Arabidopsis thaliana: one gene and its partner. The protein of the gene in region 2 interacts with the protein of the main gene of each other region in a pairwise test. Each region holds a gene or a part of one and is shown on either strand. Other genes may lie near its edges.

Region 1 (3,971 bases), on a different chromosome or scaffold from region 2:
TATCTACATATATTCATATAATTTTTTTTTTTCCGATATGTTACCTTTTCCTATATATTCTCGTCATTTGTCACCCATCACTGATATAAATAAATAAAAAACAGCCAATTGGATTTTTTGTTTTCTTTGGCACTTATATGCCTAAAAGTAAAAATGTTTTGTTTTCTTCTTGCTTGTCGCACTGTTTGTATGTGTTATGCACTGCATGCATATACATATAAATATTATACAAAACAATACGTCGTGGTCAATTTTTTTTTATTTTTTAAAAAGTTAACTACACATATAAATAAATAAATATAGATGTGTGTGAAATTGAGAAATGCACACGTACACACATATCCAAAGTTAGGTCTGAAAATAGGCGCAGATGCTGTTTTAATGAGTTGTCGGCATCGTAGGTCTAATATAATGGATACACTAAATATAAAACGTTCACTATTAGTCTTAGTCTATAACGTGATGCAGAGTAATTGTTGTCAACATGAACACTTGCTAACTCATGATCACAATGAATGAGTTTCCAATCATTTTTAAATCTCTTTTAAAAAATTTAGACTTGAAGAGTGAGCTGTATATATAGTATGATTGATGACGCAAAAGTAGGTTTATAGTCGTCCACATTCAAAATTTGATTTAAAGTAACACTTGCTTGTCCGTGCAAAGTAAGATTCGTAGAAGAGTACCAATCCGGATAGAAAATTCCTGTACTTGATATCATCAACGATGGCCGTTATGCAAGTACAAGACTGTAGGCTCTCTCTAGACCATTATTACATATAAATATAGTTAGTACAAGAATCATCATCATCAACATCATATATATTTACATTTTTATTCAGTAGAGCGATTAATTATTAAGGAGTAATTAATACTATATAAGAAGATGTTTTTTTCTTAATAATAAAATTATTTGGAATGGGGTGGTGGAAGATTAAGATCAAGCCAGATTTGCTTGAAGACATTGATGATAATAGCGTGATATTCGTCTGAATTGAGACAGAGATAGCAAGCCAAAAGCTCCTCTAGATCCTTTGTCGCTCTTATCTTGTTCTCAGCGATCATCTCCTCCATCGACTCCTTAAAGTCTCTCTTCGGATCCACCGACGCCTTCACCACCGCCCTGCTCCGCCGAGCCGACGACCCGCTTCTTCTTGCGCTGCTGCTCACCGAGATCCGCGGCGACCGCATTCTAAGTCTCACCCCCGCCGGAGAATTCACCGCCGTTTTCCGTGCGGTGGCGGCCGTTTTGGTAATGATGGGCCGGAGTTCGAGTTCCGGCGGCGGCGTAAAGGTTGCGGTTTTGGATAACTTGGAGCTGCAAGGGCTGTGCCAGGAGCCCGTTAATGACTCGTCGGGGAGGAGAACTTGATCCGAGCGAAAGTCCGGTGAGAAAGAACCTGTTTCTGTGGTAGTGCTGTCGCCGGAAGTCGTGGAAGACTTAGAGTCGACGGTGGCTCGGTGACGAAGACGGTTCCCGGAGGACTTCCTGGGAGGATGGGAGGGTGGCGCTTTGGAAGAGTGAGAAGGGCGCCTAGGAGGCCTAGGACTGAGTGGCGTTGTGGACGTAGGAGTAGGGACTGCGTGGTGTTTCTTCTTGGAGGTGGTGCTATTTGGTTGGCTCTGAAGATTCTTCTTCTTGGATTTGGACATGTCTCTAAGTTTGTAAAACCAAGCGTTAGGGATTAACTCCGATAGCTTAAACCGATAGTTATTACCCATTATCTCTCTGACTCTCTCTGTTGATTATTTTGTGTTTGTTGGGGACTTCTTTGGTACATGAACAAAAGTGAGAGTGTGAAGAGTGGAGAATTTATAAAGGAAAGAGAGGTTTATGTGAGGGGGCCCACATACGTGGAAAATATAAAGGTTATTATAAGGTGAGTGAGATGCTCTCTCCATTTTCATTGATTTTGTGTTAGATTATGTTGGCCATTTCATTTTCCCCTAAATTAAATTACATTGACATTTGACACTGACACTTTTATTATATGTTTTAGTAATAGTAATACACAAGTAGTGTTCGTACCAAAGAAATAAATAATAGAGTAATTACTAGTTTGTATATGTACTAATTACTAGTTTAATCGTGGTCATTGTAATCCTTTTAAAATGTGCACCACGATGATATTAAAAAGTTGTATCATCGATAGTGTAAAAAAAGAAAGTGGTCACTCACTTTATTGTGTTACAGTTTCCGTAAGTAGGTGTTTGGGTTTGACAACAAATAAAGAAGAGAGAAACCTGCTTTTTTCAAACATTATCGCACGCTTCGAGATCTGGGATCTCTTGCAAAACAAACCAAAATTTTAAAATGGGCCTATATGTTTTCGGCCCAATAGTTTCACTTAACGATAGCACCTCTTATATTTTCCTCTTCATCAATTTTAAACTCCAACTAAAGAATCTGTCAAATTGAAACCAAAAATAATAATATTACAGAGACACAAATTTGCCAACTTATTCATGGTCATTTTATACACGTTTAAACAAACAAACAAAAAATAACACGTTACATCTCTATGTATTTGTTCTCTGCCATGGTTAACTGATGGTTGTAAAAAGTTACAGAACAGCTTTTCCTTAAACATCAACTACTCTGCTTCGATGAAAAACTCCAACCTCACTCTTTGGTTTGAACATATTTCTTGTCTCTCACTCCGCTTCATAAATTCTCAACACCGTCACTCTTTTCCTCAAATGTGTTTTCTGGTTTTGTAATAGTTCTGTAATAAAATTAACCGTTTAAAAAAGAGGGAAAGGAAGAAGAAGATATTTTATTTAATGCTTCGAAAGATCCAAAACGTAAAAAAACAACAAACAAAAAGGTTTGCTTCTCTAGGAAGAAAGATTGTTGCTATTTGCAATCAGTTCCATTTCCAATCATCATCACTCCTTTAGGAACATGCTTGTGTGTATATCTCTTGTGGATTTGCTCTGTCTTTTGTGTTGAAATTTTGTGCCAATTCTTTTGTCTCTTTATTCACACACATATGATAACTCTAATATGCTTTCAAGATTTTTATTAGTTCCTGTCAAAACACTAGTTATGAGTTATGAGAGATTAGTAAACAACATCATAACACTGTGTAAAGTTCATCCAGTAAAAGGGAAAAAATCTCTCGTTCTTTTCTCGAATTTACATTTACAATTGCAGCTTTTAATACTTTGTAAAAGAATCAATTTCTTTTCAAATCATCAGGAAAGAAAAAAAAAACATTTAAACTTTACACAAGAAGAAGAGGGGAAAACAAAAAAATGAAAAATCATAAAACTGGACTAAAAATCCTACTTGGCGTTGGCACTACAATGCTCTGCGTTTCCGCCGCCGTGTTATGGGTATCTCCGGCGGCCCACCGTCTTAGATATCTCATCAATGACGCCGCTTTCCTCCCTCCCCTGGCCGTTCCAGCTCCTATCATCTCCCATATAACCCTCTCTATCCCTGGAATAGCCGCCATCTCCGCCACTAGCTCCGACCCTCCTTTCCGACACATCGTGACCAGCGTTGCCGCCGCACTCTCCCTTGTGGTATCCGCTCCTTCTCTCATCACCTCCCCCAAAAGTCGAATCAAACTGAAAGCGGCAGAAACCGCCATGAGTCCTCCCCTCCTGACCACCGCCTCCACGACAGCCACCGCTTCCTCCGGTAGCTCCTGGAATGCATCTCCTGCGGCTCCCATTACCCCAGCCTCAACGAACCTCCCCACGTTCTCTCTCTCAGCCACCAGGTTTAGGATCGCCACGAGCGCGTCTCTCTTAGAGCTGGTGGGGCCCTGCTTAGCCAAGTCAACCAATCCGCTTACGACACGTGCTTTTCTCCCGAGTCTTCTTCTGTATGCCGAGACGCCCGCCAAACTGAACAATGTCGCGGCTGCGTTAGCCTTAGCCTCCCACGTGGCACCCGAACGAAGAACCTCGATGACGCCGTTTAAAGCTCCGTCAGTTTCCATGATCCTCGTTTTGTTCTG
Region 2 (5,015 bases):
GCTAAGCTGTTTTCAAGACGATTAGAAATATTATAAATATAATCTGGATTTAGTTTCGGCTTTTAACATACAGTTTGTTTCACTTCACTTTTCTTTCTTTCCTCATCCTAGTTAAACTTTTATAACACACTTTTTTAAAGTTGTATTGCATTGTCTTTTTCTTATTTGTTTTTACAGTTACTTACTCTCGGGACGAATGGCGAATTGACACAAATCCACGAATGTAAATAAATAGCAATGTCGCATTATACTTAATTGATCTAAAAAGGAAAAATACTATTATCATAAAGTGAAAGATATAAATACAACTTGGATCTGACCGACACGATGAATTCTCATACACAGTCTCAATCCACCAAACTAAATAGTTATTATCACATTCAATAATAGAAAAAAAATTGATCTCAACACATATCGCGATATCAATTAAGATACGTCTAGCTTTATTTCGGTGTGTGATGGGAAGCTTTCCGAGGAATACAGGCAGATAATGGCATCACCAAAAAATAATGTCTAAATGTAATCTATTAATAAAATCCAAATTTTATATTAGTATTCGAAATTATTTTCTAGATACATTACTATGTCAAAATGTGTTTTAACTATGGATGGATGCTTAATTCGAAGAGTAATGAATTTCCGGGAATTGTGGACCATGTGGTCTATTTTCCAATGTACCATTACTATCTTCAAACACAAGTACTGACAACACAAAGAAAACATAAGAGAAAATATGATTTAGAAAACTATATGAAAGGAATAGGGAAATTTTGAAGATAAAGGCGGAACCAGGCAAATAAACTTTATTTATTTTGGCTGATAAATTTTTAAACATAGATTTGCATTGCAATACAGTTAATTAGTTGTTTAGTTGTGGAAAAGAAGAAAAAGAGTGACTTGTCGCAAACTAATATGGTTATCTAAATACATAAAAGAAGACTTTTGATGTGTGGAGTGGAAGTAGACGTTTCCTCGTTCTTCAACTATCTCCATGGTTCTGCTGACCCACTTCTATTATCTTTTCACATACATTTAACTATACACATATACATAGATTCATTGTAGATTTTAATTTAGTAATAATAATACAATATACTAATAATAAATGTTGACCTACTAAGTTATTCATGTAGGGATCATATAGATGCGTTGCCAAATATTAAACGTGCGGACATCAAATGATAAGACAATACTACCATCTGTAATATATTTTTCTCGTCAACAACCATTAATTAAAATCTTATTTCACCTATAGTATACAAATGGTAAAACGAATGACAATGATAGAAGTGTGATCGTAAAAATATATATATGGTAGCTATACTTATTCTTAGATAGATTGTCTCGTAGATCTACATTTGCGACCACATTGAAATTTTTTAGCTAGGTTGGATATTGGGTGTGAATCGTGCCTAAGATGCAAGTGAGAAATATTGGATATGTAGCAGTAGCATGCCGTGCATATATCATGTATGCTAGAATTGGTGATTGGTCAAAATCCATTGAACTTCGAAACATCACAAGAAAAATATTAATCGTGAGTGTCACTGTTTAGTTGTCCAATGAGATATAAAAGAAAAAAGTACATATTTTTCCCATTTATGAAAAGTCCAATCACATTTTATTTATAAAGGCGACTTATTGGACTTTCTAGTTGACAGATCAATGAAGCAGAGGATATTTAGATGATCATCGCAAGCAGAGAGAAAGACACGTCGAAGAAGACAATGAGAAACTCACACCCATAATTTGCTGCTCATCATTTCTAATTATTAAATAAAAACGGTAATTTAATTTTCTTGATTTGTCACATCTTTATTTCATCATCTTTTGCTTACCTTTTCTTCCTAAGCTCTTGGATATTATTAATGTTTTAGATCGATTTATATTATAATTTGATATTTTCTTGAATTGCAAGTTTTGTTGCTTAATTGTCAGAATAATGGCTGCTTTCTTTCTTGGAGAATCTGAAATGAGAGAACACTCTTCTGATCTTTTTATGATGACTCTGAATCCGTTTCGCGAGCAGACAACGACCACTAATGCTCATGACGATCACTTCTACAACTTGTGCTTTGGTTCCCAACAATATAGACCTCGAGATGAAGTAGGTCATATAGAACAAGGAAATTCTTCCATCTCCACTTTTTCAAACGGAGGAGTCTTCAGGGCTTTGGCTCCGATCTACTTGAAAGCGGCTCAAGAATTACTCAATGAGATTGTCAATGTTGGAAACGGTAGCCACGGCGCAAAACAAGAGCGACCGGTGAGTAAAGAGTCCACGATTTATGGAGTTGAGGACATCAATGGTGGCTATAAGCCTGGCGTAGCTGCTTTGCAAATGAAGAAAGCAAAACTCATCTCCATGGGTGAAATGGTAACTTATTTATACCTACCTATATAATATGTGATACACAAATAATAATAATAAGATCTTTGTATATACAAACCAACCATGGTGATATATATAATGGCAATAAACTTTCTGTTACTTTGAGATCGGGACTCAAGTTCAGTCCATATATTTGGTTATTGCATGTTAAGTATTTGATACTTTATAAAGGTTTCAAAGATTGGTAAATTGATTTGGGAAATGAATTTGGTAAATTATACACAGGTGGAACAGAGATACAAGCAATACCATGACCAAATGCAGACTATAATCTCATCGTTTGAGCAAGCTGCGGGTTTAGGCTCAGCAAACTCATACACACATATGGCGTTACAAACAATATCAAAGCAGTTTCGTGCTGTAAAAGACATGATAAGTTTGCAAATCAAGCAAATAAACAAGCTCTTGGGACAAAAGGAATTTGACGAGCAGCTTAAGAAGTTGGGAAAGATGGCACATCACCATTCAAATGCTTGGAGACCGCAGAGAGGTTTGCCCGAAAAAGCTGTTTCCGTTCTACGCTCTTGGCTCTTTGAGCATTTTCTTCATCCGTAAGTAACGTTTTCTTCTATCTTTAATTCTTGTTACGATTATTGTCGATATATCAGAATGATGGGACCTTGAAGCAAAGGGAACTAACTAAGGATATGGAAGCTAGGATCATTACTTAGTTTTGTATAGACATGCATGCTAATGATTTAGTTGTGTCTTGTTTTGGTTTGTATAGATATCCGAGGGATTTGGATAAGGTAATGCTTGCCAAACAGACTGGCCTTACTAAGAGTCAGGTAATTGATTTCGATTATCAGAAGTTGGACATACTTAAGTTTCTTAATGTTAGATGTCTCATACATAGTACATATACAATTTCATGACATCATCTAACACCGACTATCAAGAATAAATAATCTACAGGTAAAACCGAATATATATATAGATTCAAACAAATTTTATTCCGATCAAAAAAATATTTTTAGAAAGATATCTCTTTATTTCTATTTTTTTTTCTTTTCGAGTCTGAAAACAAAAACGTACCCAAGAATTCTAAGAAAAGCAGGTAAACCAAATATATTTTGGTAAATTTATTTAGATAGATGATGTATATTTATTTTATTATAATTATTTTAATGAAAATAGCGATGATAGCATACGAGAAATATCATATATGTGATCCTTTGTAAAGTAAATCAAATTTATTTTGGTTAAATTAGTAATTATATATATTATGGAATACTTTCTTTTAGCACCCATGATTATATATAATCAAAATAAGTATTGTTAATAGTATCTTGTGTAAAATGGATGTAGGTGTCAAATTGGTTCATTAATGCTCGAGTTCGAATGTGGAAGCCACTGGTGGAGGAACTTTATTCGGAAGAAATGGATATTGAAGAAAGCAGAAAAGGAAGTGACCGGTATAGTACCAAAGGTTCATCTTCAAAGCAACCGTACAATAATACAACTTCAAATGAATCTTCGAACACGATCCTACCCGCCTTTCGTCAAGGATTCACTGAAACTGAAACCCCTAGGCAAAATTCATCCTCAAGTTGCAGCGTAGTCATGAGGTTCACGAAGCAACACATGAATCAAGCGAACTTCATCAATTTCAACGGAGGGTTCGAAAACTATCACACAATGGATGGAAACAGCGTCTCCCTTTCCCTCGGCCTGCCTCATTCTTGTGACCAAACCTTTAATAACATTCATTTTGAGTCAACAAGTCATGGAACTGAGAACTCGGCCATATATTCATCTTCAACTTATCAAATCATGGATTAGAAATAATTAGTGGGGATGATATATTTTCTGCTTGTTGCTTACGTATATTCTGTGTATAGTTTTGGCCCTTGGATGGTTTCGTATGGGTTGATGTGTGTAGATTGATAGAGAGGAGATGATTAAGTAAAGGTTATGATAAAAATGTAGATAACAATACTAAGCTAAAGAAATATATATGGTTTTCGATAGTCAGGTTTTAGTTAGTATTGTTACGTATGAGTGTAAATGAAGATCAGATCAACCGTGAGATCCATATTAGCTAATAGTTGTGACTTTATGAACGTGTATGTGTGTGTGTGTGTGTGTATGTCCCCAAAAACCCTAACTTAATCTCCCACCTCTTCTGTCTTTTTTCTAAAATTTGTTCCACAAAACAATGAATATATATTAGCTATAATTATTATTTTGTTGTTTTACATGATCATCTTAGTGACCTAACCACAAGTTAATTGGCTACCAAGAAGTTATGGATTTATTTATTTGAGTTGATTTTTTGTTTGTCTTCCATATCCAATTTTTTATTTTTTATTTTACAAACTAACAAAATACAGAAATGTTTTAAAAATGATGGTAAAATAAGAATATGATAGAAAAAATGGGAGAGAATATTTTCTGTATCATTAAACACACAAACCGTTGCTACAAATTACATACTGAAAAATATGAATGAAGACATTATACAAACGACCAAACACACCTCTCTATGATACATAAATACCCCAAAACTAAAACAACCTCTAAAATCCTCCTCCTACTCACTCTCCTGTTTGTGTCCCTCACCAAAAGTCCAATACCACATATATAATCAATACTAAGAAAAAAAGCAAAGTGAAGAAAATCA

What was found.
Region 1: the proteins of BLH5 (region 2) and OFP1 interact in a two-hybrid assay, tested with the Arabidopsis thaliana proteins (one large-scale study listed by BioGRID).

Annotation. Positions count from the first base shown.
Region 1 is NC_003076.8:322,303-326,273, reverse strand, and holds OFP1 (ovate family protein 1), read right to left. Parts: upstream 1,847-3,971; 5' UTR 1,723-1,846; coding exon 910-1,722; 3' UTR 596-909; downstream 1-595. Other genes in the region: SAUR21 (ARM repeat superfamily protein), read right to left, coding at 3,267-3,971.
Region 2 is NC_003071.7:11,636,465-11,641,479, reverse strand, and holds BLH5 (BEL1-like homeodomain 5), read left to right. Parts: upstream 1-1,942; coding exon 1,943-2,377; intron 2,378-2,563; coding exon 2,564-2,943; intron 2,944-3,119; coding exon 3,120-3,180; intron 3,181-3,700; coding exon 3,701-4,174; 3' UTR 4,175-4,374; downstream 4,375-5,015.